4 linked regions of the Notamacropus eugenii genome follow. The protein of the gene in region 4 interacts with the protein of the main gene of each other region in a biochemical or structural test. Links are inferred from orthologs where the notes say so. Each region holds a gene or a part of one and is shown on either strand. Other genes may lie near its edges.

The links.
Region 1: the proteins of TBP (region 4) and GTF2E1 form a complex in vitro, tested with the Homo sapiens proteins (3 studies listed by BioGRID). The link is inferred for Notamacropus eugenii from reciprocal best matches to the Homo sapiens genes TBP and GTF2E1.
Region 2: the proteins of TBP (region 4) and E2F1 form a complex in vitro, tested with the Homo sapiens proteins (2 studies listed by BioGRID). The link is inferred for Notamacropus eugenii from reciprocal best matches to the Homo sapiens genes TBP and E2F1.
Region 3: the proteins of TBP (region 4) and MSX1 form a complex in vitro, tested with the Homo sapiens proteins (2 studies listed by BioGRID). The link is inferred for Notamacropus eugenii from reciprocal best matches to the Homo sapiens genes TBP and MSX1.

What each region holds. Positions count from the first base shown.
Region 1 is NC_092876.1:345,122,168-345,130,109, forward strand, and holds the start of GTF2E1 (general transcription factor IIE subunit 1), read right to left. Parts: upstream 3,028-7,942; 5' UTR 2,877-3,027; intron 2,177-2,876; exon of another isoform or gene 1,310-2,176; intron 1-1,309. Other genes in the region: RABL3 (rab-like protein 3), read left to right, coding at 3,285-3,330.
Region 2 is NC_092872.1:417,786,148-417,793,214, reverse strand, and holds the start of E2F1 (transcription factor E2F1), read left to right. Parts: upstream 1-4,051; 5' UTR 4,052-4,525; coding exon 4,526-4,780; intron 4,781-7,067. UniProt on the Homo sapiens protein: Transcription activator that binds DNA cooperatively with DP proteins through the E2 recognition site, 5'-TTTC[CG]CGC-3' found in the promoter region of a number of genes whose products are involved in cell cycle regulation or in DNA replication.
Region 3 is NC_092877.1:61,337,067-61,344,385, reverse strand, and holds the start of MSX1 (homeobox protein MSX-1), read left to right. Parts: upstream 1-4,266; 5' UTR 4,267-4,465; coding exon 4,466-4,973; intron 4,974-7,166; coding exon 7,167-7,319. UniProt on the Homo sapiens protein: Acts as a transcriptional repressor. Capable of transcription autoinactivation.
Region 4 is NC_092873.1:267,360,797-267,368,347, reverse strand, and holds the start of TBP (TATA-box-binding protein), read right to left. Parts: upstream 3,009-7,551; 5' UTR 2,790-3,008; intron 2,676-2,789; exon of another isoform or gene 2,296-2,675; intron 1,518-2,295; exon of another isoform or gene 1,426-1,517; intron 1-1,425. Other genes in the region: PSMB1 (proteasome subunit beta type-1), read left to right, coding at 7,222-7,343. UniProt on the Homo sapiens protein: The TFIID basal transcription factor complex plays a major role in the initiation of RNA polymerase II (Pol II)-dependent transcription.

The sequences.
Region 1 (7,942 bases), on a different chromosome or scaffold from region 4:
GACAAGTGGAAAGAGATGCTAGCCAAGAGCAAAGCCATTTTACATTATCTTAGATGGTGGCCTAGGAAGAGTAAAATTGTGTTTTAAAAAGTGAGACAGCATACAGAAAAATAAGTTTATAGAAAGCTTGGTAAGAGACCCAAATAAGCAAAAGTACTTGGAATATTTAAGGATGAAACTTCACTGAGGAAAAATGGAACACAGACATTAAAAATTCTTAAAACAAAAGCTTTTCACCACAAATCTGGACTCTTAACTCATAGTCTCTGAAGTGCTGCATGAAGAAATAGAAATGGCACCAGAGAAAATAGGTGAGACAAAGAGCTAGTTTAGACCAAGGACACCCAAAACAGTTTGTGGCTGGAGGTAACACAATTTTGAGGTCACTGAGGCATAATAGACTTTTGAAGCACAGAAAGAGGGGAGAACAACGAGGACATGGGAAAAAAATTGGAATTTATTATCTAAAAAAGGCAACTGGGAAAAAATATCAACTCTGAATTACTTTTCCACATCTACAAAAATTTTGAGAGCATAATCTACACATGCAGCAAGGAATATAGTTTTTCTTTTTGCATAGTAAAAAATGATTCCACTCATAAAATTTGAATAAATTTATATGCTTTTAACATAGTCAAAGCTAGTGTTCATTCCAACACACCACAAGAAGGCAGGGACCCATTAGCAAAATAAAATAAGACAATAAGATAATTGTGAGATAAATTACATGGCATAAACTATTAACAGTTTGGGACTTTACAGAAAAGGGGGCTACTGAGTCCTGGAACAATCAAGGAAGGCATTATAGAAGACCTACAACCTAAGCTAATAAGCCTTGCATGTTATTGGAGAATACACCTGTAGGGGATTAGAAAATCCACTCCCTAACCCTTCTCATGAAATCCTGAGGGAAGAAGTACAAAGTCAATTCTGTTCTGGGAAACCAGCTCATCATTGGGAGAGGGAGTCAAGGGCCACACAGTGTTGTTATCTCACTTGCAACAGAACTTTCCAATACGTTAACAAGTTAAGACTCCTCACTATCCTCTAGGCACACCATGCTTTTTCACCCTATTTACCGCTTTAGCTCCTAAGTTCTCTTTGTCTAGAATGTCTATTTACCTCTGTCTAAAGCTAGGTCAACTCTTCAAGGCCCAGCTCAAGTGAAAGCTTCTCCTGTCCATTCCCCCCCACCCTTAGAGACCAGTGGCAACGCAGGTGCATATGAGTAAAACAGATTTTTTTTTTTAAAAAGTCAACTGATTCTCAAGCATATTATTTTCATGCTAGTGGGTTATTAGAAGTTTACCTTATTTCCATTAGTCTCTGCGACAATCCAAGAGGAAATAGCGCACTCCTACGAAGTAGTAGATAGGAGAACTCCTATGAAGACCACTAGCCTGACATGGAGTCCAGAAAAAGCTGGGTTCCCACTCCCTCCTCAGATACGCACACAGTCGTGTATTCCTAGACAAGTCACTTAACTTCTTTGTACCTTGGTTTTTTTCGTCTGTAAAATAAGGGACTAGATACCCTCTAAGGCCCGGAATGTACTTTGTATGCACTCTAAAAAGTTATAAGAGGCAGCTAGATGGTGAATGCTCAGAACACCAACTACCGGTTCAAATGTGACTCAGATCCTTACTAGCTGTGTGACCCTGGTCAAGTCACTTAACCCTGATTGCTTCAAAACAATTTTTTTTTTTAAATAAAAAAACCTTTATCTAACCTAGGGTTTTTGTAATCTAAATCTGCCATCCTATGACTTCCCTCTTTCTCATCAAGGATCTTCCTTTAAAGCAGTATTTTAATTACGCATCCAGAACCTAGCACTGGAGGCAGTAAGGCATAAACAGAACTCACTCACTCTACACCATCAAGGGACCCTGGTCTCGGGGCTGTTCGTTCCTCCCCTGGGGAACCTCCACCTCCCTACTCGGAGTGTTTTCGCCCTCCGTGACTGCTGGATTCCCTAGCTTCCTGCAGGTCCCGCCTCTGTAAGAAGCAAGCCTCTCTCCCAGGGCTCTTTAATCTGGGTTCTTTCCCAGAGACCGACCCCAATCCGTCCGGGCAGTAATCTCGTTGGTACCTGGCTACGGGCATGGCAGACCTCCTCGGGGAGCTCCTGGCGGGCAGGACCTGCTCTGGCCTTTCTCTGGCTCAGTCAGCATAGTGCCTGGCACATAACAAGCGTTTAGTAAGTAAAATATCGACCAGTTCCTACTAATAATACGTCAGTATAACGAGTCCTTATTTATTAGCCCCCACAGTGTGCCAGGCACTGTGCTAAGCGCTAGGAATGCAAAGAAAGGCCCCAAACTCGAGGGCTAACAGTTTAACTGAAGGCTCTGCGGCGTGGGAACCACAAAACTTTACCGGGTCCAACTGTCTTCGAACTAAAGGACGGTCTAAAGGAAGACCCCGGCCCGGGTGGCCTCCTTCACCCTCCTCTCCTTCCACACCCTAATAGGGTCCCCTCCGCGAGGCCTCGCGGCCGGGCCACAACTGAAACCCCCCAGGACTCCAGTGAGACCGCAGGGCACGGCGCTCTTCTCCTCCGTGAGCCTCAGTTTCCTCTTCTGTTAACTGAGGGAGCTGGACCAGCGCTCTGCGAAGTGCCTGGCTCCCAGCAGGCCCTCGGTACGAGCTCGTGGACTCGCCCAAACGTTCCCTCCCGGCTCGCTCGGGTCCTGAGGCCCCGGAGCACGCCGCAGGTGAGCCTGGGGAGAGAAAGGGGCCCGGGAGGGAAACCAGGGGCCCAGGGAGGATAGCCAGCGGCAGGGAAAGGACCAAGACCTAAGAGGCACTAGGGGGTGATGGGAGGAAGTGAAAGCCTGGTGCGGCGCAGAACCCGGGGCTCGGGGAGCCCCACTCACCAGAGACAGGCGGCAGAAGCCGGGAGACGCACGCTCAGCAGGCGAACCAAGGGCCGTCCACAACAAAATACGTCACCAGCGCGACGCTGACGCCGCCGAGGGCCCGCCGCGCAGCCCTGCTTCCGCTTCTAGCCCCGCTCCTCCCGGTTCGAGCCCCGCCCCTAGGCCCCAGCCCCGCCCGCCCGCTGCGTAGGACGGGCAGTCTCCTCCTCCCAGGAAAGACTGCTCGTAAATACATCTAACCAATCAATGCTGCAAAAAAGAGAGTCCTATTCCCATTAACCAATGAAATAGCGGAGAAGGCGGGGTATGGGGCGGTACCGTGTTCAAACAAGGTCTGTGATTAGTAGGTTCTCTATCAACCTGCCCTAGACCGGGAAAGGCTTGCTATTAACCAGTGGCGGCAAGATGGCGTCGTTGGATCGGGTGAAGGTGCTAGTGTTGGGGGACTCAGGTAAGTAGTCCTGGCTTTGTTCTCTGCTCTCGACCACGCAGTGGCTGCCGAAGTTCGCTTCCTTCCTCATGGCTCTTCTCCCCGCTTTTAAGTTTTTCGGCTGGAGTCAGAGGCTCCGTGGGAACGGAAAACTACATTTCCCAGAGGGCCTAGCTAGGGAGGTCGCTTGTGTGGGCGGGGCTCCCTCTTCCTTGGCTCCCATGCTTTTGGCCTACTCTTAGTTGTGCCTTACTTCTCCAGGCGTTTTGCTTCCTTTCTACTAAAAGTACGTGAACGCCTGTGAGGGTGTTGTTGGGGCAGGAGGGTCTGCATCGTTGGAGATCGTAGTCACAGGAATGACAGCCTAAAACTGTCAAAATACGAGGGGTATACAAAAAAGAGGAAAAGGCTCCCTGCCCTGAAGGAGCTTACCATCCAGCGAGAGACAGAACATGCCAACAAGTAGTGACAAAGCAAGTTATATCCAGGACAAAGACGGGAAAGGCAGTGTCATTCCAAGGGGTTGGAGGTAGGATACTAAGAGGTACGTAAAGGAAGCCAGGGAGGTCAGTCGTTGGAGTGAAGGAGGGAATTGACCACCGAGTTAACAAAAACCTTCATTAAAAATCCAAAAACCATGCTTGGACTGCTGCCTGGGGCCAGGCCAACTGGATCTAGGCTATGAACTGCAGTTTGCTGACCCTCGGTTGGGAAAAGGGATCTTGGAATTGCAAATTAAATTTCACGTCAAGTTTATCGATCACCAAAAACACCGCTAACATTCACACTTCGCCTTGCCCTGCTGTTTTCTTCCTTCTGTCCTATTGACCCGGCAAGACTGTGTTTAAGCACCACTTCCATTCCTCCGTCCTCTGCAGCTTTACGTTTAAGTCATGTATCTGTGCAAACCAGACACTTGGTTCTCTATTCCGTTAACCACCTGACAACACAGTCCCAAACCGGCTTGGAAAAGGGCACTAGGCTGATTGGGCCGGGATTCAAATCCTATTTAGACTGTGGGCGAGACTCTTGGTCTCAGTTCCTTCATCTGTAAAATAAGAGAGTATTCATAAATGAAGGGAGTCAGTATGGTGCTTTCTACTAAAAAACAAAAACCCCAAACTGATTTTAGCTTACCTCTCTCACTCCCTCTTACTATAGAATAATTCCTCCAGGTTCAAGAGACTCTGGATTTGCATCTACTCAGAACAGAACAAACCTCTACTGATGTGTCTGTTTCTTCCCTAGTGAGCCTGAGGACACATTTATTTTGAAGAAAATGCACTTAATAAAATAGCATAATAAGGAATGAACAATAGATCTTCCCCCCCCCACACTCTCCCTTTCCCCAATAAGGCAACATATACTCTGCCATACCTATATACATTTTCAGTGGAGAGAGTGAGCAAACGTAGAGATCATGTTTGAGGAGCCCACGCTTGGGGAACATATTTTGGGAGTGAACTGCTGGGCTCCTGATGAGTTCTGGTCATGTGCTTTTGACTGAGTCGGTGTTGGTTTACTGGGCTTACTGCCCCTACTCCTGCCTGGAAGCAGCACCTCTGCTGGACTCTGTCAGATGCTTTTTGACTTTAGTCTGCACTCCCTCCAGCTTCCGGCACAGCCCTTGGATGCTGCTGCTTGAAGAAAGAGCAGAAATCATTATATTAGAAAACCTCCCCCATCCTGCTTCTTCAGAGTCTCAAACTTGAAGCTTATTTTCCCTCAAGCAGGAGATTCTCAGCCCCAAGGGCTAAGCTCTGGAACAGTGAACAAATATCCTAGACCTTTTCCTTCTCTTTAATCATCCCCAGCCCTCTTCCTTGTAGAGGGCTGGGTATTTTAAAGGACCTCACCTGGCTTACGGTGATTGTCAGATACACTTCCCCAGTGTTCATCTTTGCAGGGTAGGCTATAAACCATATAAAAACCATAGGGTCATAGAATTATAGTCTAGCACTGGAAGGTCCCTGTAAACTTACAGGTCACTAGAATATACCCTCCACGTGAGAAAGGACTCAAAAGTCAAGTAACTGACTGGAAAAATGCCCTAAAAAGGGGGGAAAAAATAAAACTATAGAATGTTACTTTCTCGGTGAAAAGGTATTTTCTTCCATCCTTTTGGATGAGGAATAATAAAGCATGCCATCGGAGGAAGACATCAAAGTCAAGGTTTCTACATCTAAAACTTCCAAAAAAAAATATGCAGTGATCTCAAGTCATAGAAGAGCTCAAAAAGGTTTTTGAAAATCACCTAAGAGAGGTGGAGGAAAAATTGGGAAGAGAAATGAGAGCAATGCAAGAAAATCATGAAAAGTGAGTCAATAGCTTGTTAAAGGAGACCCCCCAAAAAATGCTGAAGAAAATAACACCTTTAAAAATAGACTTACCCAGATGGCAAAAAGAAATCCAAAAAGCCAAAGAGAAGAAGAATGCCTTAAAAAGGCAGAATGGGCCAAATGGAAAAAGTGGTCCAAAAGCTCATTGAAGAAAATAGTTCTTTAAAAATTAGAATAGAGCAGATGGAAGCTAATGACTTTATGAGAAATCAGGAAATTATAAACAAAACCAAGAGCATGAAAAATAGAACTCAATGTGAAATATCCCCTTGGAAAAACAACTAACCTGCAAAATAGATCTAAGAGAGATAATTCAAAAATTATTGGTCTACCTGAAAACCATGATCACAAAAAAGAGCCTAGACATTATCTTCCAAGAAGTTATCAAGGAAAAGTGCCCTGATATTCTAGAACCAGAGGGTAAAAAAGAAATGGAAAGAATTCACTGATCACCTCCTGAAGGAATTTTCTTTCCTAGGAATACTGTAGCCAAATTCCAGAGTTCCCAGGTCAAGGAGAAAATATTACAAGCAGCCAGAAAGAAACAATTCAAGTATTGTGGAAATACAATCAGGAGAACACAGGATTTAGCAGCTTCTACACTAAGGGACTGAAGGATTTGGAATATGATATTCCAGAAGTCAAAGGAGTTAGGTTGAAAACCAAGAATCACCTACCCAGCAAAGCTGAATATAATACTTTAGGGGAAAAATCAAATTTCGATAAAATAGAGAACTTCCAAGCATTGTTGTTGAAAAGACCAAAGCTGAATAGAAAATTTGACTTTCAAATACAAGAATCAAGAGAAACATGAAAAGGTAAACAAGAAAGAGAAGCCTTAAGGAACTCATTAAAGGTGAACTGTTTACATTCCTACATGAAAAGATGTTATTTGTAACTCATGAGACCTTTTTCAGTATTAGGGTAGTTAGAGGGAACATATATGTATATACATATATATATTTACATATATATATTTATAGGTGTGAATGGGTATGTATGTATGTATGTGTAGGTGTGTATATGTACATATGTGTATATATGTATGTGTGTATATACATATATACACATATATTTGTAGGTGTGAATGGGTATGTATGTGTATATTACGCATGTATAGGTGTATATATGTACATATGTGTATATATGTATGTGTGTATATGCATATATATATATACACACACACACACATAGAGACCACAGGGTGAGCTGAATATGGAAAATACCTAAATAAAATTTACTGTTGAATGGAATATACTAGGAGTAAGAGAAAGGGAGAGGTAGAATATAGCAAATCATCTCACATACAAGAGGGAAGAAAGAGCTTTTACAATGGAGGGGAAGATGGGGGAGATGAAAGGAAATAAGTGAGCCTTACTTTCATGGGATTTGGCTTAGGGAGGGAATAACACAAACTCAATTGGATATGGAAATCTATTTTACCCTGCAGGAAGGCGGGGGGAAGGGGATAGGAGAGGGAAGATAATAGAAGGGACAGCAAGTTGGGGAAAGGGATAATCAGAAGCAAAAACTATTATGGGAGGACAGGTCAAGGGAGAGAATGGAATAAATGGAGGGCAGGATAGGACAGAAGGAAATGTGTTTAGCCTTTTACAACATAACTATTATGGAAGTGCTTTGCATTGTTACACATGTATGACCTATATTGAATTACTTGTTTTCTCAGTGAGAGTGGGTGGGGAGGGAGGAAGAGAATATGAAACTCAAAGCTTTAATAATGAATGTTAAAAATTGCTTTAGCATGCAACTGGAAATTAAGATATACAGGCAAGGGAGTATAGAAATCTATTTTGCCCTACAGGAAAATAGAGGGGAACGGGGATGGAAGAAGGCTGGGTAATAGAAGAGAGGACAGACTGGAGGAAGGGGTGGATGGGGTGCATGCTGTCCTGGGATGGGGGGTGGGGAGAAAATTTTAAATTCAAATTCTTGTGGAAGTGAATGTTAAGAACTGAAAAATAAATTGTATTTTTAAAAAAAGGTCAGGGTTTCCCACTGCATCTGGGGCCATCCCCAGTCATCCTGGTCTGCATATTGCCACTGAGTGGAGATGTTTCAGGTGAAGATGAGGCTGGTGACTTTGCACAACACTGCCTCACTTAAATCTAATTCACTTGCAAATGGAAACATAACCCTTCTTGACTCATTGGTCTTCTTTGAGAAGGAAGGACCTATGGTAACTTGAGGCCAGTCACTTAACTTTTCTTAGCCTCAGATTCCTCATCTATAAAACCTAATCCCTGGGAGGAAAAGGGGGGCGCAGCTGTGTGGCA
Region 2 (7,067 bases), on a different chromosome or scaffold from region 4:
TGGTCCGGATCCAGGCTCTGGGTGCACCCAGGAGGCACCTGAATACATAGGGAAAGCAGAGGAGGAACAGAGAAAGACCAACTTTGCCCACTTCAGGTTTTGCTTTGGGTTGGCCTCAGGTTTCAATAATTAATACTGTACGATGAAAAAAAAAGGCAGCTTTAGGATTGCCTTGTGTGGCTCAAACTCTGTCAGTCTGAGTCTGAGGTGATGACAAGCATCTCCAGCCCAAGGGTCGGTTCATGCAAACTCAAGCATGAGTATGATTATTGACACCAACAGGAAATCTTATCAGCAGCTCTCAGGCTAGGAGCCCTAGAACAAGAGCGCTCAAAAGGGCTAAGGCTTCTGGGTATGACATCTTTCAAGTAGATATTAACAGATAGTGTTTAAGCTTCTATCTGCCGCTGAGCTTATGTGCTGCCTTGGGCCAGTCCCATCTACTTTCTGGACCTCTTTTTCTTTATCTGTAAAGAAACTGTCCCTTCTCACTCAAAGGATTCCAGTTTAGCTTGTTTCTTTTCCAGTCTGCTCTTCTCCTTGAGGCTGGGGACAGGACATCCGTGGCATGTGGCCCAGAGGAAAGAACTATTTATTTTCATCCTGGAAGTCTGCAGCAATTTATGTGGCAGATCAGCCTGTTCATAGGCTGCCCTAGAATTGAGGGAAGGGTCAACCCCAAGGCCACAGGCAATACCAAACCAAGGAATGGAAATGGTACCAGTATAGGGGTGTGCCCTTTCTGAAGTCTGAAGAGGTGAAGTCCCAGCTAAAATCCCATCTTCTTCAAGGAAACCTTCCTCATTCCCCTTAATGCTGATGACTTCTCTACCTTGATTATCCCCTATTTATCTTACATACTTATTGTTTGCACGTGGTTGTTTTCATGTACCCCCCACTAGACCGAGAACTTGTAGAGAGCAGGGATTAATCTTTTGCCTTTCTTTGTATCTCCTGGGCCAAGTATGGGACCATGCACATAGTAGGCTCTAAATAAATGTGTTTTGGACTGACTGACTGAGATTAAAGCAGCACTTTCAGTGAAAAAGGAAACAATACATTCCGGGAAAGAGGTCTAAGGCTCGGATAGCTCCAACGAATATGAAAAGGCCTGCGGAGACTACTAGGTTGCCTTAGAGTGAAGACTTCCTCTTTGTTCTCAGTCATAAGACCCCCACCTGTCTTAGGGGAATGGTGACTTTCTGGTTTCTATAATAATGGGTTCCCAGGGAATCCAGGTTGTGAACTGGAATTATAAAAACTCTCACCTCCTGCTGGGGTACTCTACCAGCCTGGCCCTGGGTGAATTGTGGGAGGGAACCCAGAGGGGACCCTACCCTAATCTCCCTCTCTGACTCCTAGAAGGATCATTTCCTTCTTACTACTGATCCACACTGCTTGTTCTTGACCCAGTGCTGCCTTCTTCAAGAAAGAATCTTGCTATTGCTACATCTGCTTCATGACATTCATTCATTCATTCATTCATCATTCATTCATTCATTTATTCATTCATCCATCCATCCATCCATTCAACATCTGTTATGTGTCTGCCCTGTATTGGGTGAAATACAAAAGTTTAGGTCTGATACAATCCCTCTGTCTTTCTTGCTTTTCCTGCTCCTTGGGCTTACAGACCTGCCTTCACTATTCTTGAGTGCCTGTTTCCCAACTAGACAGATGTTGCCGAGTCACCTCTAAAATGACAGGCAGTTGGTGCTGCAGTGGATAGAGAACAGGGACTGGAGTCAGAAAGACCTGAGTTGAAATCTGACCTCACGAATATACTAGCTGTGTGACTCTAGACAAGTCACTTAACCTCTGTTTGCCTCAATTTCCTCAAAATGGGGATAATAATAGCACCTCCTTCCCAGGGTTGTTGTGAGAATAAAATGAAAGAATATTTGTAAAAGTGCCTGGATTGTACACAATGTTTATTCCCCTTTCCCTTCACTTCTAAAATGAGGGAACTGTCCAGTCCAGAGGGTAGATCTGGGCAGCTTGGTAGGTTGCAAAGGTTTTTTGCTGTAGGGGTTGGGTGGGGGTGGGGTAGAGGGGTGGACCATACACACCCAAACCCAGACCTTCTCTGAGACTCTCCCATCTCTCAGTAATGATCTCCTTGGAAATCAGGTACGTAGGTTGCTAATCCAAAACCAGGTGTTTGCAAGCAGCTACAGAGAATCTGGGCCTGAGGACTCCCATAATACTTTTAAGATTCCAAAAAAACCTGGTTTCTTCCCAGGGCTAGTCCAGTCCAAGTTAATTGGTGTGTTCAGTTTCCCCAATCCCTGTCAATTTGAGATGACAAGGGAGACTGAAAGGAGGAAGGATCTCCCAGAAGCAGGGGAAAATCCATTCTAGGCCTACATAGGAAATATGTTAATTTGTCTTAATATCTTAATCTTTAAAAGGGAAAAAAGGAATGCAGAGAATTGAAAGCCTCTAGGTTGAATGGGGGGGAGGGGAAAGTTGTCTCTCAGGTCAAAGGGGATCTATGTCTGTGAGACAGGTCTCTGTGGTAGTGGTGTATCTGTAGAAGTAGAGATTATGTGTTAGGGGGTCCACGTGTAGGATGTTTCAGGGTTTGGGGATGGTCTGTGATTCTGGTTTCTGGTATGAGGGAGTCTTTGAGTCCCCAAGTTTGAACTTTTTCTGGGGGAATCTCTCTGGGCTAAGGGTTCTGTGGGTGTTTGGAGGAGGGTGTTCCTGGACTGAGGACCTGGGTTTGGGGAATTGGGAGGGTGTCTCTCAGATGACAAGCCGGGGGGGGGGGGGGGGGGGGGGGCTGTCTTTGAGTTTAATTGTCAGTATCTCTGAACTGAAAGGTCTAGGGGAGAAACTCCTCCAGAGTTCATATGAATCTCTGCAGTCCTTGTGTTTTCGATGGCTGTGCCCCATGACTGGATTGTCTCCCTCCTCTCTGCTGCCTCCTGCCATCCCTGGCCCCTTTTTAAGAGGAGGCTCAAATCCGACCTTCTGCAGGAGGCTTTTCCTAGTCCTCCTACTTCTCACTTCCTCCAAGTACCTTTCCTATGTTTGCACAGTATATATCTTGTATATACAGTTCTTTGCCTGTAGTCTCCTCCATCAGAAGGTAAACTCGGTTTCTGCCTTTCTTTGTACCCCCAGCACTTAGTTCAATGTCTGGCACATGTTGTTAGTTAGCTGAGTGCGACTCTACTGTGAGCCCATGACATGGGAAAAACCATGGGGTTTTCTTGGCAAAGTACCGGAATCGTTTGCCATTTCCTTCTCCAGTGTGTCCTTATTTTACAGATGGGGAACTGAGGCAAACACAGGGGCGGCTGGGGTGGTCAGCCTTAAGTCTAGAAGACCCCTCAATTCAAGCCTCAGACACTAGCTACGTGACCGTGGGCAAACCCCGTTTGCCTCATTTTCTCCTCCGTAAAAATGGCAAACCATTCCAGTATCTTTGCCAGGAGAAGCCCATTACGGGGTCACGACTGAGCGACAAAGCAACTTCCCCAGGGTCACACAGCTAAGAGGTGTTCTTATAGAAACTCAGATCTCTCCGACTTCAGGCCCCGCGATCTCTCCAGGGCACTGCCTCGCTGCCCCTGACTGACATATAGGAAGCGCTTCATAAGTGCTGGCTCGGCAGGGCAGACGCTTTGCAACGCTTGGGGAGTTGGTCTGGGAAGGCGGGGGTGAGGGGAATCTCGGAAGCGTACCTGGCAGGGGTGGGCTTCTCGGAACTGAAGGAGAGGTGTAGGGGATATCTGGACTTAAGGGGTCTTGTGGGAGGGTTCCATCACCAGCTGGAACGGGGCGGGGCGGGGTTGGGCAGGGCCGAACTGGGCAGGACCAGAGCTTCCGAGTCCGTTCCTTCCCGGCGGCGCGCCTCCCGGACAAAGCCTGCGCATTTTCCTGGCGGTGATTGGCTGAGAGTGACGTGCTGACCGCCCCCCTTGGACACGCAGGCCGGGGCCGGCGCGCCGTAACCAATAGCAGGGCTCGGCGCCGGCGCTTCTCTGTATCAATCTCGGAGCTGCCAGCCAATGGGAGCGCCGCTACCCGGCTCGTGCCCCTTTCGCGGCAAAAAGGATTTGGCGCGTAAAAGTGTCCGGGACTTTGCGGGGATCAGCTGGAGAGACCAAAACAAGCTCCCAGCCCCGGCTCCGGTCCCGGGCATTGCTCTGTCCTCCAGTCTCCCGCCTCGGCTCCATCCGTCTGTACGGATCCCATCACTACTGAACCCCGGAGTCCAGGACCGCGCATGGGCCAGGGCCCTCTCGGAGCCTCCGGCAGCTCGCGCCCCAGCCCCGGTCCGGGGCCCTGAGCCCTCGCCGGGCAGGCCAGGCCGAGCCGGAGACTATGGATCTGGGATCCGGAGCAGGCTCTAGTGCCGAGACCCCCGGCAGCGGATAGTGCCCCGAGAGGCGACCGCGGAAGCCCGCCCAGCCTCGGGCCGCGCCCCGCCCCAGCCCTCCCGGCCCGCCGGCCAGTCCCTGTCCCTGGGATGTGAGCCGGTGCCCGGGGGAGCGAGCGAGCCAGCGGAGCCGCCATGGCCCTGGACGGCAGCGGCGGCGGCGGCGGCACGTGCGTGGCGGAGCTAGAGGCCCTGCTGGGGGCTGGGGGGCTGCAGCTGCTGGAGCAGCAGATCGTCATCATCTCCACCCAGGACGAAGGCCCGCTCAGCGCCGCCGCTGTCCCCGTCACCGCCGAGGGGCCCCGAGAGGCCGAGTTGCTGCTGTTCGCTACGCCCCAGGCGCCCCGGCCCGGAGCCAGCGGACCCAGGCCTGCCCTGGGCCGGCCTCCGGTAACTACTCCACTCCCCGCCCTCCCAGCACCATGGGCGGGCCTCGGCCCCGGGCATCTCTGTGAGCATGCATCTCCACGGCGGGACCCGAGCGCCAGGGGCCCTGGGCAGCTTTCCAGGGCTGATCCCACGGCCAGGAGGGCGGCTCTGCGGGCGGGGGCACGGCTGGAGGGGAGTCTAATCGGCTGTACCAGATGGATGGGTTTGCGCCAGAGGGAGCCCCCTTGCAATGCGCCTGCCTCCGGGGTGGAGCTGAGCTGTGGCCGCCTCACAGCGCTGGGGACTCTCTGTACCTTTGCCCTCTCAGAGAACGTGGCCTAGTGCTCCGAGGCCGGGTCTGGATAGGAGGGGGGCGGCGGTGGAAGCTGGCTTTCTCCTCCCACTGGACGGTGGGCTCTGGCCTTTAGATACTCCCAACCCCCTCCACTCAGTGGAGAGACCCGACTCTGGCTGCCGAAGGGCAGCCCTTGGCCTGGGGCAGAGCTGAGATTGAGGATGGACCCTGGGTGTCAGTATTTGAGTCTGTTCAAAGTCCTGTTTTATTAACCACATCACCGGTGGCAGTAAAATGAGGTGGTGGGTTTGTGTCAGTAGGAGTGGCTACACGCTGTAGAACAGGAGTGCTCTTTGCCAGGGCTGGAGTGTGTGTGTGTTTGGGGCGGGGGGGAGGGGGGGGCAGATCATAGTTGATTCAAGAGGAGGATGAGAAAGAATGCTGTGGGGTCCTATGCTTGCAGCTGCCCACCCAGTGCCCCTGTAACATCTGCTGAGTGCCCCTGGGTACTCGAAAGGTGCCCAGGTGTGGGCGCTGCCTTTCCCGGCTCTGCTCTCTTTGCCCCCAGAAATGGACCAAAATTGAAGTGGGCTGTTTGTGTGAGGCCTCGGCAAGGCGGGAATGGGTTCTGCCTCTCCCCCATTAGGGAATGAGGGTACAGCCTGGAGTGGCAGCTGATGTTCTCCCTCCCACCGCCCCCTCCATCTGTTGGTCCTCTCCACCTGCCTTCATATTTTCAAGGGGCTTGTTGCCATAGTGTCTAAATGCTCAGTGAACTTGTTCAGCTCCCCTAGGCCCCCTGGGGGAGGGGAAGGGAACGGGTGACTGAGCTGGTCCTTGGCCTCTGTGGTGTGGTGCCTGGGTGGCTGGGGGAAGGGCTGAATGAGGCAAGAGGGAGCAGTTGAGCTGCTTGTGGCAAGTAGTCTCCCTCCCTCTGCACCTCAGCTGCCCTGCCCCTCTCATCCCCCTTCCCTCCCTCCATTTTCTCTATGAACCTGTAGAACCTGGTTGGGTTCCCTTGGGTTGAGACCAAAGAAAGCTCTCTCTGCTGTTGGAAGCCAGACACCAGGCCCTGGGTTTGGCCTTAGTATCTGGTCCTGATAGCACTGAGACCCCTGGAGGTTGGTGGTCCTACCTAAGAGGAACTAATGTGGGAAAAGGGGGAGTTAGGAGAGCTGGCCTCTGTACCTGGGACAGTGAACTGTACAGATTGGGTTTGGCCTGGGATTCCTAGGACATGTTTTGTGGTCAAGTCAGAGTCCTAGGGCCTTTCCAAGGGACTTCCCCAAGGATATCTGGGATATTGATGAGGCTACTGGATTGTGTAGTCTGGAAGAAGGAGGAGGCGAACCCCAAACAAAACCTGTCTGAAAAATTAAAAAAAGTCTTGGCCCTGGGGAGTGTTGAGAAAAGGGAATTACAGCAGATGCACCAGTCATGTTGGGAAAACTTCCTGAAATCTAGGCCCTTCTTCAGCAGCCAGCGATTCCGATTGGCTGTAGTGTGTGTGTGGCTGTGTGTGTGTGTGTGTGTGTCTGTGTGTGTGTTGGGGAGGGAGATGAGACTGCAGTGGTTTTTTGGATAGAGGTCGTAGAAGGTCTCCAAATCATATGGCAAACCCCCACTGTGGGCTGTGATAAGGTGCCCTGCTAAGTTGGCTCTCCTGGGTAAGTCAGGGAGAGGAGATCCCAAAAATGATCTGCAGACCTACCTCGTGCCCATCTGAGTCCATGCCATATGGGTTTCCTGCCTTCCCTTATTGAACTGGAAAAGGAGCTGCATTCCCAGGGGACTGATAGTGGTGGGGAGTGGCACAGAGGCATCAGAGTGTAGAGGAGAGAGTCCTAGATTTGTGGTTAGATTTGTGGTTAGGAGCTGGGTTCTAATCTAACTTCCACCACTTATCTACTTATCCCTCTCCAAGTCACTTCCCTGGTTTCCTTATCTGTCACACAGGGCCTCATGCCTCTATATGGACTCTGATGTCTCCCTTTTCTCCTTGCCCTGTTTTGG
Region 3 (7,319 bases), on a different chromosome or scaffold from region 4:
GAGTGGGGATGGGGGTGACGTGAGAAGGAAAGGAGGTAAGACAGGGTGGAGGTCAATTTCTGCGACGGCGCCTTTTAAAATCCTAGAATCCCAAGTGACTTGGTGGATTTCACTGTGGAGTATCCTGCTTCGGCCCCACTAGATGAGGGGAACTAGAGAGCAATGAGTTGGGAACTTTGAGATCTCTACTATATAGAAGGCACAGAAGCCCAGACTTCAGGTCTGTCCAAGGTACCAGGGGAGGGGAAGGGATTTGTCCCTTTAAATACATTGCAGTTTGGGGGCAAATGTTCATAGTGCGGAGCTGAGGAAGCAGGAAAACTTCTGCTCTAAACTCTCATTTGGCTGAAGCTCGAGCACTATGCTCTCGAAGGACTCGCAAAGCTCCAACAATTTCTTTTCCATCTTCTAAATTGCATACCTCCTCCACCCAGCATTTTAGCGCTCAGGCTGCCTCCTCAATACCCTAAAGTCGAAGGCAAAACCACGGTCTATGCAACCTTTCCTCGGGTCCCGACCCGAATTCCAAAGTAGCTCCTGCGAAGGACGGGGATCATAGCACTCCTGCTGCCTCCCGGATTCCTCATCCCCTAGACTCCTTTGCTGCATTTGCACCAAAATAAAATGCTATGGGTAATCGGTTTTCACAGCACATTCATTATATTAAACGGTTACTGTTTGAGACGCTAATTGCGCAATATCGTTATCTAGCGCCAGTGTCCTACTGAGCAGCTCGTTTCAAATAAACACACAGAGCCACTTCAGCAACTGCTACAAAGCAAATTAAAAACAAAACGGGGGGGGGGAGGGGGGATGGAGACTAAAAACGGATGGAGCAGGAGCCTTGTCTATCTCTCCTACTTCCAGGGAGGAATTTCCTTGCTATGGATTTATTAAAGGAACCGAACCTAGAGAAAGGATGGAAAGAACTTTGAGAGTATACCTGAAAAAATGTTCCCTTTGCGAACTCCAGACAGACGTACAAGTATGCTTTCAAGAGACGAGGGAGAGAGGAAAGGGAGGGAGGCAAGGAGGAAGAGGGGAGAGAGAGAGAGAGAGAGAGAGAGAGAGAGAGAGAGAGAGAGAGAGAGAGAGAGAGAGAGAGAGAGAGAGAGACGGACGGACGGACGGACAGACAGACAGACAGACAGACAGACAGACAGACTTGGGCAGACACAGATACGAAGGGACAGAGACAGACAGACGGACGTAGAGAGAGAGGCAGAGAGACAGAGTTAGATGTTCATAAAAGAAAATCTGACAATGCTTAGATATTCAAAGAGTGTGAGAGTGGAGGGGTTAGTCAACCGAAGTCTTTAAAATGCCCCTAAAACAGTGGGGCTTGAGTAAGTTAAAGGGGGATGCAACAGGGAAAAGGAAGGAGAAACTCCAATCTTTGTACATTATCTGTCTCTGGGAAGACAAGTCCTTGCCAGGATATGAATTACAATCAACTTGGTTCTCCTGTGATGCCATGATTAAAATACCACCAAGTATGAAAAAAATGTAAACACTGAAGTTCATTACTGCGAAATAAATATGGCATAATCATCTCATCCTGTCATACACTCTGGGCTCCCCAGTCAAAGCTCAATCCCAAGAAATGGAGCTAAGCTAACTTCGCCAAAACCCCTTCAACACCCTCTTAAAACTAAAACTGTGTACATACATACATGAATCTAGATACATCTTTTCCCTTCCTCTCCTCCCATCCCACCTCCTCCCCATTCATATTTTCACCAGAAACAATACGATCAAAACCCTGAGGGATTGTTGCGATCAGCGACTCCAACAGCACATTATTCTTCTCTCCAGTAACTCTTTTCTGAGAGCCGGCAGCAGGCGGGCAGAGCCATTCAGAGAGGGTGCAGCCCAAGATCAATAGGCGGAAGGGGTTCTATTATTACAATGATTATGATGGGTACTTGGAATTTATTCCTATCTCTAGATTTCTCTCACACACTGATACACACGCCTTCATTCCTACTTAAAGCAAAAAGCCGGGGAAAATCCTGCTTGTTTTCCAGCCTTGACCGAAAAATTAAAAAATAAAACCAGAATTTGTGGAAAATATCCTGAGGAGGGGTAGAGCAAACTGAAGCTGTCAGGCTGAATGGGTTGGGGTCTCAAGGCTAAGGCGGTTTGCTCCCTGGAGGAGGGTTAAAGTCTTCCACAGTCCCACTCCAGTTGAAGCCTTTGATCAGGCCGCTGCTGGCGCCTAAAAACAACATCACTTGTCTGCCTATTAGAGGCACTGACTAATCGGGACAGATTGTTTATTCTCGCAATTAGCAATGCTGCTGCTTCTAGGAAAGAGCAGAGGCTGCTCTTTGCTCCTCAGATCAGCCCAACCCCGCAGCCTCGGGGCAGAGAGCCGGCCAACCTGGAGCAAAGGGGCTTTTCACCTAGCGGATGAAACTGGAGGGCTCTTAAGAGAACTGATGGCCTCTTGGTAGGGCTGAGCTCCCCTACATCTTGCGAAACCGCTTAGACTCCCAGATCTCCCAGCTCCTTGGGTCCCTATCCCCCAAACCACGTTGAAATTTAAATGAGAAGGTGAAAGCTTCTACCTTCTCCCGGATTTGCTCTCAGTAAGCACGCCCGGAAGACCCAAACTTCCCTGCTCTATTCAGGTCTGTAACGAACCCGAAGACATGATGTAAACTTCCAGTTAGGCTAACAGGCGAATTTTACACACGGAGGCGCCAGGGCCTTTTAAAAATATCCCACAGGATTTGTACCCCCTCCTAAAAAACAAAAAAAACAAAAACAAAATAGGAATGGTGGCTGTTCACACCCCCTGCACAGTGCACAAGATTATTCCTTTCTCCCAGACCTGATTTCTTTTGTGTTTCTAAAGTTTCTTCTCTCATCCATCCGTTTTCTTAATCTCTATGAGCATAATCTACAGCCTTTATTGGGCCCAGTTAAAAGGAGAGGGAATTCTCTGTCCCACAGCCTTAGAGATAATTACCCCTAAATGGCTGCTAAAGCCTCTTGTGTTTCTAGGAGATTAGAGCCCTGTAGCCATCAATAAACTTTTCTCAGCGAGCGGCCAATCACGTTATTAGAGAACCGTTCCGTTTTAGTGCCGGTCCATCCTGGTCACAGGGATAAGAGATCATAAAAATGGGAGGGGGAAGACAGAATAAAATAGTCAGGTCTCTAGTGCTTTCCGAGCACAGCCTGGAAGAGTCTTAGTTCTAGTGATGATGGTTATATATGTATGTATGTATATGTACACACATTAATGCACATATATTAATATATCTGTATATATTCATATTGTAGATACACATGCATATATATGTAGCATAAGATGACGTTTCCTTCTAAATGGAGAAATAAAATCATTTCACACCAAACACAAGGGATAACCAGAGTTATGTGGGGACATTTAATTCTCTATTTTCCCATCCTGCACTTTTCTCCACCCCACTGGGGGTGCTTTTAAAAAAAATCTAAATATGTATGTATATGCAGAAAATTGGTAGGATCAAGTTGTTTTAAAAGGCTTGCCGTTTGAGGTCACTCTGAGGACAGCCCTGGATTTTGTTCATGTAGGTGCTGGTTCTATTTGGATAAGTCTTAAATCAGAAAAGAGGCGCACCCCCCCAAAAAAATTCCTCCCACCATCTCAGTACTTTGTATGTAATGTCACTTAATTCCAAAACAGGAGGGAAAAGTGAATGTGAATCACTCCTTTCTGGTAAAGTTCTGTTTAGAAAAAGTGCATCTCTATCCAGGAATCTTTGAAGTTAGGTTGCTCTTGGTCTTGTTTTGCTTTCATAAACTCGAACAAAGAGACATAGACCGCTGTGTCCGAAGAAAGAACGAATCTCACCATCTGGATAAAAAGGTAAACCAAATCCAAGAAAGAGAGGAAACATGAATACATTGGAATAAGAGACAGAAAAAGAGAGACACTGGAGAAGAGAAAAGGAAAGGGAAGCGAAGGAGAGGAAACGCAAAAATATTTAGTTCGGAGCTAACTTTCCCATTCACAAAACCCTCCCCCGTCTTCTTTCTCTTTTATTCCTATACCCCCACCCCTATCCCTATCCCTACCCCACCCCCATCTCCTACAGCTAGCTCTAGTCCATCCCGAACAAGAAAACTGGAGAAGGTTGTCAGTAGGTAAGTCCCGGAGCCCGAGGCCCAATGGAGAGCTCCTGTTCCTCCCCTCTCTACCCTGATTGGCCGGGAGCAAGCTTGCTTTGCCTTATTAACAAGTCCTACTGGGAGCCGCGACTGGACAGTACCCAAATCCCAGAGAGCGAGAGGCAGAGAGCTGTGAGTTGCTAGCCGCTGAAGCCTGGCATTTTGGGAAGAGAGCAGAAGAAAGGGTGGGGAACCCGAGAGCCAGTGCGTTTCTAAGTAAAAACTGCCCAGGAAAACTTCCCCAACCCCATGGTCGGTGGCGGCTTCTGCTGCGTCCTGAGGCTGGAAGGGACATCTGCTCTGTATGGCCCCGGCTGTTGATATGACTTCTTTACAAATCGGTGTCAAAATCGAGGAGTCTCCTGTGTCTGCCTTCAGCAAGCCCGGCGGTGGGGGAGGCGGCGGCAACAGTTCGGGAGGCGGAGGGGGCGCCCAGACTCCCAGCGCCTCGGCGGCCGCTATGGGGGGAGAGGAGGAAGGAGAGAAGCCGAAAGTGCCCCCTTCCCTCCTGCCTTTCAGCGTAGAGGCACTCATGGCTGACCACAGGAAGCCAGGGCTCAAAGACGCCCTCCCCGGGCCCGATGGGCCCCAGACAGCGGGAACTTCGGCTCAGTCCCTGGGCACCAGGGTCGGATCCTTAAGCGCCGGGGCTGGCCCAGAAACGCCCGCTTCTCCTCTGTCTCTCAACAGCCATTTTTCGGTGGGAGGACTCATAAAACTGCCGGAAGATGCACTTGTCAAATCCGAAAGTCCTGAGAAGCAGGAGAGGACCCCATGGATGCAGAATTCCAGATTTTCCCCACCTCCCCCTAGTAAGTAGGAAACTTGGGATGGCGGTCCTTGAAAAATTTTTGTTTTTGTTTTTGTTTTATAAAGGTAGGTAGGTAGGGGAGATTAGAAAAAAAAACATGTATGCGTGTACAGTCATGTCTGTATGCATTTGCTTGTAGACATGTACGGGTATGCATGTTACAATCACAGTTTCAGGGCTTGAAGACCTGGGAGTCCTTCATTTTGCAAATGGGGAAACTAAGTCCTAGAGAAGAATGATTTGCCCTAGTCCACAGTTAGTAAGTGGAGAAAGTCCGGGTCTCCGGATTTCCAGTTACAGTTCACCACACAGCATCGTCCTTTCATTTATAACGGACCTTTTGAGTTTTCTTAAAATGTGAGACTGGGAAGCGTCAGTCCTAGGTCTGGTGGGAGGCCAGACTCTTCTGTGAATGTTCCCTCCCCTCCCGGAACTCTATGGTTGTTGGTGAATCCCACTTGTGGGTAAATCATTTCCCAACATCCTATTCTTCCTACTCCACTGTCCCCTTGCCCCTCTCAGACCAAAATCAACCGAAATGGGGCAGGGAGGGGCGCGGGGGGGAGAGCGGGGAGTGGAAACCTCTGTTGTCACATACGTTATCCGAAGTTGTTTGTGTCATTTTTCATGTTGGTTGATGCCTTGGTCTGTCGCTCCAACCACTCCTTGTCCCTATTTCCCCCACCCCCGCCCACCAGTTAAAAGAACCCCTTCCTCTGGATCTAGTTTGGCTGAAGCGTTTGCAAGTTTCCTAACAGAAGGTCAGCAAGCTATTTAGGGAGTGAGGACATTCACTTTGGTTCAAAGGATACTTTAGAGACCATTTAGTTTCCTGCTACCAAAATGCTTTTTGGTTCGGGCAGCTGAGTACAGTGAGCACCCAATTTTAACTTGAACTGTCTTCTGGCACTCTGCTAACCTGCTTTCAATTAAGTGGAGCTGGAGCGATTGGGAGATGGGGGTGGTGGTGGTGGTCATTCCTGTACACACTCCCTGAACTTATAAAGATGGTTGTGTTCAGAAGGATTTAAATAGCACGGGAAATTCCCAAGTTTTCCTCATTTCCTTCGATTATTACTATTTTTTGTGTGTGGAATAATAGAAGCAATTCAATGCCGTGATCTTTAAGAACGATTTTATCTGGGGATTAAAATTCTTTGAAATGAAAGCCCCTCCCTTCATTTAACGACTAAAGAAGGCCGACAAAAAATGTTATGACTTCACTGCAGGGTAATTATGTTTCATCTACTAGACTCCTCTGGCTTCTCTGCTTTTAGCTAAAACTCAGGGAAATTTTTCATTGAATTCAAATGCTTAAATATCCTCTTCGCTCATTTTTTCCCTAGAGTATCTTCCTCCCATTGAATTGGGAGAAGAGAGGGTGGTATTAAATGATAGTTTGATACCACTCTTATCCCTACCCACACAGTCAATCCAAAAGACATTTGAAATTTCCTGTAACACTTAAAATTAGAATTTCACTTTCTGGAATTCATAAAGTTACCTTATTTTTTTCAGAATTGCAACCTTTCCTAGAGAAGCCTTCCGGCAACTCTGCTGGGGTGCAGAGCCTCAACCAGAATAGCAAGAGTTTTTCACTTAGAATTCTTAATTAATTACGTGTTTAATCTTTTTCTCCTGGGCCAGAAGAACGGGCTATGTAGGTGCGCTGTGCTAAAGTTGTCCAATTTATGTTCGAAGTTAGCTCTGCTTAGAATCTAGGATTTTCTCAGCAGCACAATTTCCTGAACTGTCTCCTTATGGTTTTTCTATTCTGGTGATGCAGACTCCCTGACTCTCCTTAAATCTATTTGGTTTTGCACGGAAAGGAAAGGACACAGTTTCACTCCCCGGGGGTTCTCTCCTGTCTTCCTTATACAGGCCAAAGAAGGTCAGGTTAGGTCTCTTTTCGGGACAGAGGGGATCAAAGCAAGGTAAGGCAAGGGCTGACACTTGGAGTGCCAGGCCTGGAGGACACAGGAGACATTAAGGAGGTGAAAGCTTCCGTGGGAATCGGTGGGAATTTTTTGTACCCTTTGCTGTGCATTACTAATCAGTGATCTCTCTCTCTCTCTCTCTCTCTCTCTCTCTCTCTCTCTCTCTCTCTCTCTCTCTCTCTCTCTCTCTTCTCTCTCTCTGTGTCTCTCTTCACTTTATATTTTCTCCCTCTCTCCCGCCCCTTCCCTTCTTTCAGGGCGGCTCAGTCCTCCGGCCTGCACGCTTAGGAAGCACAAGACGAACAGAAAACCTCGGACTCCCTTCACTACGGCACAGCTGCTGGCTCTGGAGAGAAAATTCCGCCAGAAGCAATATCTGTCCATCGCAGAGCGGGCCGAGTTCTCTAGCT
Region 4 (7,551 bases):
AGCAGAGACTTCATCTTATCCACAAAGGTGCATATAGTCAAAGCTATGATTTTTCCAGTAGTAATGTATGGCTCTGAGAGTTGGACTATAAGAAAAGCTGAACACTTCAGAATTGACACTTTCAAATTGCGCTGCTGGAGAAGACTTTTGAGAGGCTCTTGGACAGCACAGAAATCAAATCAGTCAATACTTAAATTAATTCAGGCTATTCAGTGGAAGGTCAAATATTGAAGCTTAAGCTTAAATAGTCTGGGTCACATAATGAGAAGATAGAACTTACTAGAAAAGACTCTCATGATGGGAAAGATGGGAGGCAAAAGAAAATGGGGACAGCAGAGGATGAGACAGATAAATAGTGTCATGGAAACAATGAATATGAACTTGGACAAACTTTGAGAGATAGTGGTCTGTAGCACTAAAGGAGCCTGTAGTGATATGGTCCATGGGGTCATGAAGAGTGGGACATGACTGAAGAGCGACAAGAACAACAACTTCCTGACTCCAGGTCCAATACTCCATCCACTGAGTCACCTAGCTGCCTCATGTGTCTCTAGTACAGTATTTTTCATGTAGTAGATATGGAATATAATATGAACTGAATATGTGAAAAATGTACAGACATAAACATTTAAAATAAATTTTACTTATCAGCTGTTCTTGGTGATCAAAGATTTCTTAAGGGGAAGGCTCAACTTAAGAAGTAGTTAATAGTATGTGAATGATAGAACTCAAACAAGCATGATCTATCAATAATGTTTACTAAGTACCTACCTACCATGTGCTAAGTTCTGCATCTACAAGAGAAAATCTGTTAACAACTATAGAGAAATTTAAGATAGTGTTTCAACTTGGGCTATCACAGTAGCATAGAGACTAAAGACCCATAGATTATGGAGTTTTGGAAGTGGCATTTATTTCCTAAATTATACAGTATATTGAAAAAATTATCAGTTCCCCAGCGGGATGTTAATGTCGCTATACCTGCACCTCAGCATTCCAGTTCGAGAGTTAATTTGGACAAGTAGAAAGGGTTAGAGAGGATCTAGAATAAGGCCAAGCTCCTCTGAAGTAGGCTAACTTTTTTAAGAGGGAGGAAGGAAAAATAAAGGACAGAGGAATACTAATTACTCTGTTCTCTCACTTGCTGATCTCATCAGTTCCCATGTATTCAATTACTGTAGAAGACTCCCAGATCTAAACACTTGACCCTCCTCTTTCTCTTAAGCTCCACTTGCTTCAAGAAGTGTTTACGGGACATTTCAAATTGGCTATCCCATAGGTATCTCAAACTCAGAAAGTCCAAAATAGACCTTTCTTCTCCCCCCACCAATCAACTTTTCTTCCGGAACCTTCCCTGTTACTGAGGACAGCAGTCACACCAACCACATTCGCTACTCAGTCATTCAACCCCACATAACCAACTACCTTCCATTTCTTGTCTCTTTTATCTTCATATTATCTCCTCTATATGTTGTCCTCTTCTCTCAACTAACACAACCACCACCCTATTGAATGAATTACGCTAGCCTTCTAAATTGGAACGTCTCAGGTATCTCTCCATTCTCCATACAACTGCCAACGTGATCTTCCTAAAAGCACAAGTCTGACCATGTCCGCTTCTTCATGACCCCATGGACACAGCACACCAGTACTATAGATACGGGAATGGTTTGCTATTTCCTTCTCCGGTGGATTTGGGCAACCAGAAGTTAACTGACTCGCCCAGGGTCACAAATCTTAGACCAGATTTGAACCTCCAGGTCCAGTCCACTGAACCACCAAGCTGCTAGGAACCATGTCAGTCTCTGAATCAATAAATTCCGGTGACTCTCTATTACCGCTGGGATCAAATATACATTCCTGTTCATTTAAAACTCTTCGAAACCTGCCCTCTGTCTTTCCAGTCTTCCTAAACATTTTGCTTCTGCAGAGGCTCTGGAGGTCAGCTGTAGTGACCACCTTGCTGTTCTCCCCTTTCCGTGCAACTGCACTAGCAATCCCCCACCACTGGAACGCTCTCCCTTCTCTCCCCCTCTGAGACTTCCCCGCTGCTACTAAGTTACCCTGACTGCCGTCTGCATCTCGTACGGACTTTTACAGGACCGTGCTGTCTTCCCCGAGGGGCTCCCACTGTTTGAAAGGCACGGGCTGTAGTCCATCTTCCTTCCTATGCCCCCTTTTAGCACGGTTCCCAACCTCTAGGAAGTCACTTAGTAAGTGGTTTGTGGACTGACCCAGCGATTTCATGGGTATAGAAAGGTTCAGAAAACGCCATCATCTCGAACCATCACCTACAGAGAACGTAAAGGTGTGAGGGCTGCTCGGGGCACTGAAACTGGTCCAGGGTCACCAAGACGCCGGGAGTCAGGGGAATCCAGGTTACCCCTCGGGTCCTATCGAGGTTATCACCCAGGTCCGCCTGCAGCGAGCCGCAGGCACGCCTCTTCCACGGGTCACCGGCACGTGCGCAATCTTCCCTCCGCACTTTCCCCGAGCTTTGGAGGAAATTACCGGGAAACGGCCCCAAGCCCAACAATGCCCTGGGCCGGGGGACCGATCGAGCGGCCAGCGGCTGCCGCGTCCAGGGCCCGGCGCGCTCCGGCCGTGAACCCCCGAGCACCTCGCGCCTCCCTCCGGTCGTTCCTGCAGCGCCCCCCGCCCCCCAGCCGCCTCCCGCGCGCCAGCCAACCCTCCTCCCATCCCCCACTTCCCGAAAAGAAGCCCGCGCGCGACACGGCGGCCGTCGCCTCGACCGCCCCCACCGAGTCCACTCCCTCAGCTTTCCCCACCTCTTGACTCTCCAGCGAGGGAAGAAATCAAAAGAATGATACCTAGAGTCTCTAAAGCCACCGCCGCGGCAGGTGAAACCCGAGGTCGGGCCGGAGGCAGTCTCTCCGCCCGCCACGGCGACCCAAGCCTACCCGGCCTTCCTAACCTCCCGGCGCGCCGAGTGACGCCACTTCCGCCATCTTTCCGTTTAGCTTCACTCTCGCCTGCGGCCATTGACTTATATAGCCATGTTCAGTGTGGGCAGTCATATCACTTCCGGAAACGCTCCCACGTGACTGGGAGTGGGCGGTGCTAGGGAGGTGTGTGGGCGGAGCTGGTAGCTAGCTTAGCTCTTGTGGTGCTGCAGCCTTGGTCTCTGGAGCGAGGCTTGAATAGCCGCTACTTGTGGCACTTGGGTCTTTCTGGAGAGGCGCGTGTTCACGGCACCCATTCCCATCAGTTGAGCGGGGCCCTTGTCACTCTGGGTGCACTTTGCCTGGGACTGTGGTTTTCAAACTTTTTGTTAGCCACACCCCTCCTAAAATGTCTTTATTACTACTCCACCCCCTCCTTTTTATAAAATAATCAGGTAAATAATTGCCATTGTAAAGGTTTTATGAAGATAAAATTAAGGAAAAAAGAAATCAAAAAGTTAAAAATCCCTAAGTAAACACTAACACATAAAAATAAATCCCATAAAAAGCGCGTAATTGCCTCAATTCAGGTTTTATACAAATAAAATTAAGAAATCACTGCTCCACCCCACTTCTTTTCATAGAATAAGCAACAAAACAGTTCTCTGTAGGTATCTGGGGGCAAAAGAGATGGGCTTGGCCCGGGCCTTTTGTTGGTAGTCAGCTTATCCAAGATCCCCAGAGTTTTCTACCCTGAGACCGCCAGCCAGTTCCAGTTTTACGTGCAAAGAAGCTAAAGGCTTCCTAAACTCACATGATCGTAGGCAAGCTTAGACACATCCACCTCAAAGTTAACGTTTGGTCACTTTGAAAAAGGCTGCCAGGGACCCGGTCAAACGCTCACGTGGCAGTGTTGGTGGATTGGGAAGAAAGAACATAACCTATTCCTCCACCATCTTCATGAAGAATCTAGAGATAGCTTATTACTTGTCCAATGGAAGAGTTGAAGCAAAGACACTGAAGCTGTTTCTTCTTTTAACTAATATGGTATCTCACCCCCTACTTCTGTCATGGTGGCATGGAGAGAACTAAGAAACCCTTCCAAGGTCATCCAGAATACCTAGTTATTTCAGTGCCAAGTTACTCCATGACCAGAAGTAGACCCCAAAGTTCCCCACTCTGGTCAACTAGAGGGCAGCTAGATGGTTCAGATGACAGGGCACCAGGCCTAGAGTCATGGAAACCTAATTTCAAATCTAGCCTCAGATACTAACTGTGTGACTCTGGACAAGTCACTTAACCTGGTTTGCCTCAGTTTCCTCATTTGTAAAATGAGCTGGAGAAGGAAATGGCAAATCATTTACCAAAAAACCCAAACAGGGTCATAAAGGGTCAGACACAACTGAAACTGCTGTCCAACAACTTGGTCAATCAGAAAGAAGGGCAGTTCTGAGGACTGTTCATGGGATAGCTCTAATTCAAATTTCCCTAGCCCCAAGTATTTATTGATAAACTCTTTTATATTTTGTATCCTTTACTCAGATCTCTCCCTCCCCTCAACATGGGAGTCAGTTTAAATTGACTAGATTCATCAAGGTAGGAGGGCTGACCTCAGATCAAGTCAGATTTCTCTATTGGTTTGCTCCCATTTAGAAATTTCCAGCAAAGCTAAGACTTGGATCATGTTTAGGGTCGTCTCTTGGTTATCAAATGTGGAACGGTTTTTGTATGTCCTTAATAGAAACTGAATATACACAAAGGACTCAGAGTTAGACATAAATAATAAAACACTCAAATATTCTATGAGAGATGATGTTTAAATCCTTGGGAACTGGTGAAATTACCAAGTTTCTATGCAGATGACTTGCAGACCTATATATCTAGTGCCATTCATTGCCCTGATCTCTGATCTTGCATTGCCAATAGCCTATTGAACATTGCTTTTAAAAAATTATATTTCCTTTTTTTTCAACAAGTAAAATTCCATCTTCTCTCCTTCTTTGAGGATGAAAGGAAGAAAGCTGTTACAAACAAGTTGTTACATGGTACAAACATGTAAAGTCAAACAAAACACATAGCTGTATGGGCCACATCCAAAAAACCTTTGTTTTATTCTGCACTCTGAGCCCTTCATCTCTCTATCAGAAAGTGAGGAGCATACGTAATTGTTAGTACTCTGGAATTGTAGTTGGTCATCACACTGATTAGCGTCCTTAATTCTTTCAAAGCTGTGTGTCTTTACCATGTTGTTGTCATTGTATGCTTCATCTATTCCAGGAATTCTGGTTAAATTTTTTTTTGGCCTATGCTGCATTTTTCTTTGTAGTTGTTTTGAGGTAATTTTCTTCTGAGTTTGTCTTCAGCATCCCTATCACCATAAAAACTCTTCATGATGGGATTTTTGTTTGTTTATTTTTCAAGCTTCCTTTCTGACTTTAGACTTAATTTTAGGGCCAAGATCTGTACACTTTTGGAGGGAATATCTGAGCTGCTTCTACTGCTACTTTCTTGGCATATTGAAATGTTGTGTTACTTCATAATCTCAGGAACAACTCAGGCTTGGAGTTTTCAATACTCCTAAAATTGTCTGATTCAGTGCAAAGTCTGATAGCTGCCTGCTTAGTCTGACCTCTGAAACTTCCTGGTGTGGGTAGTAGTAGATTACTGCTGGACTCAGCTATTATCAGCCATCTGAGAAATGCTGCTGGTTGAGAGTAACAGAATTGTAGGCTGGCCTTAGCTCTGGAATTCCTGCCTTGGTTATTACTCTGCAAGTTTCAGGGTGGGCTAGAAGCTAGAACTGAGACCCCTTTCTCCTCCTGGGATCTGAGCCACACTGCTGCTGCTTGCTTCTCATCTCTTTATACAATGTCCAGCTTCTCACCCTCCCCAGTTACCCCTTATAACCACTTTTTTAAAAGAGGAAAAGAAAAAAATTCAGCAAAATTGACATAAAAAAATCAGATATTTTATGTAATATTCTTCACTGATCAGTTACCCCAATGCAAAGGAATGTGTGTGGGGGGGGGGAGGGGGCAAGGAAATGCCTTTTTATATGTTCTTTTTGAAGCAAGGTTGGTCTTTATGATTTTGTACCAATATGGTAATTTTCACAAACTTTTTTAGAACTGGAAGGGACCCCAAAGATCATCTCTTCTCACCCTCCCCAGTTTCATGGAGGAGAAAATTGAGTCTGGGAGGAATTAAGCAAATCAATCCAAGGGCAAAGCTGGTACTTTATTTATTTTAGCTTTTACAAAAGAATATTTTTATGAAGAAGATATCGGAGAAATAAAAGCACAAACCCCTCCAAAACCAAAAGTACACTGTTCCGGACCAGCTCAGTCGCTGAAGAGTTATTAAACATTTTCCCCACCAAGTGCACTTTACTCGCAGAATACAATGTCTTGGCTGCCAGGCCATTCCATTGTTGGGTTGAGTGAAACAGACCAACCCTTAGTGCTGGCTCCTGATGAAAGCTGGTACTTTATCTATTTTTAAAATTTATTTATTTGTTTTTAGTCTTCAACATTCACTTCTATAAACTTTTGAGTTTTGAAAGCTGTAGTTTAACAGCAGGCTCCGAGCTGGATCTGGAGGCAGAGGGCCTGGGTTCGAATTTTGCCCTTCCTTACCAGTCAGACCCTGGGCAAGGCACTCTGGACCTCACATCTTCATCCAAGAATGGGGGGTGGGAGGGAACCTCTCCATCGTCTGGGTAACTCTCCAACACCGGAGACAGGTGAGAAGGTGCGATTGCGTCGGTAGAGGGAGCTTGCTCCTCCGGGAGCTCCCAGAGCCAGCGTCAGGAGAGGTCAGTAGGTGCCAGGGCTGAACCTTGAACCCGGGACTCCCTTTCTCCAAGGACAGCTCTTCAGCGGAGGCCTCTGGGCTTGTGCTTGTTAAGGGCAGCACTTGAACGCAGGACTCAGAGGTCGGTTCTGTATTTTTACATGGTTTGAGCTAGTAAAGCTTCCCAGAACAGGTAAGGCCAAACACCTGCTTCGAGCCCAGGACACTGGCGGTGAGTCTTCTCTAGCTCCGAAGGGAGATCCTCCCTGAACCCCTCCCTCTCACGTCCCCCCCCCCCCCCCCACACACACAGCAAGGAGCCCCAGACAGCGCTTCCGAACCGCAGGGGGCGACGTGCCCGCAGGAGCGGACCATAGAGTGTAGAGGAGCTAGAGCGGCTTTGCCGGAAGCGGAGCCGGGCGGGGGCGGGATCCGGAAGTAACTTAATTTCCGGCGTGGCAGCCATCTCTCGGTGAGACAGCAGCCAGAGGACCGTTCCTGCCGCCGCCGCCGCCACCGCTGCGGGATGTTGTCTGCTGCCCCCTTCGCCGCTGCGTACCCGGGGCTCGGGACGGAGCGGGAGCTGGAGCCTCATAGCAGCGCGGGCCCCGTGCAGCGCCGCTTCTCGCCCTACGCCTTCAACGGGGGGTAAGGGCTCGCTGGGCCTCCTGGCACCGCCGCATTCCTCAGTGGAGGCCGGGCTGCGGACCCGGCGTCGCTTTCACTTTCGATTCGCTCCGGCGCCCGGATCCTGAGCCCGATCCCCTTCCCCGGGGACTTCAGGCCTGCCTTCAGCTTCCCTCTGTGCCAGTCGGCCCACTGGCCTGCGTTCATTTGCAGAAGGTCGTGCCAGGCT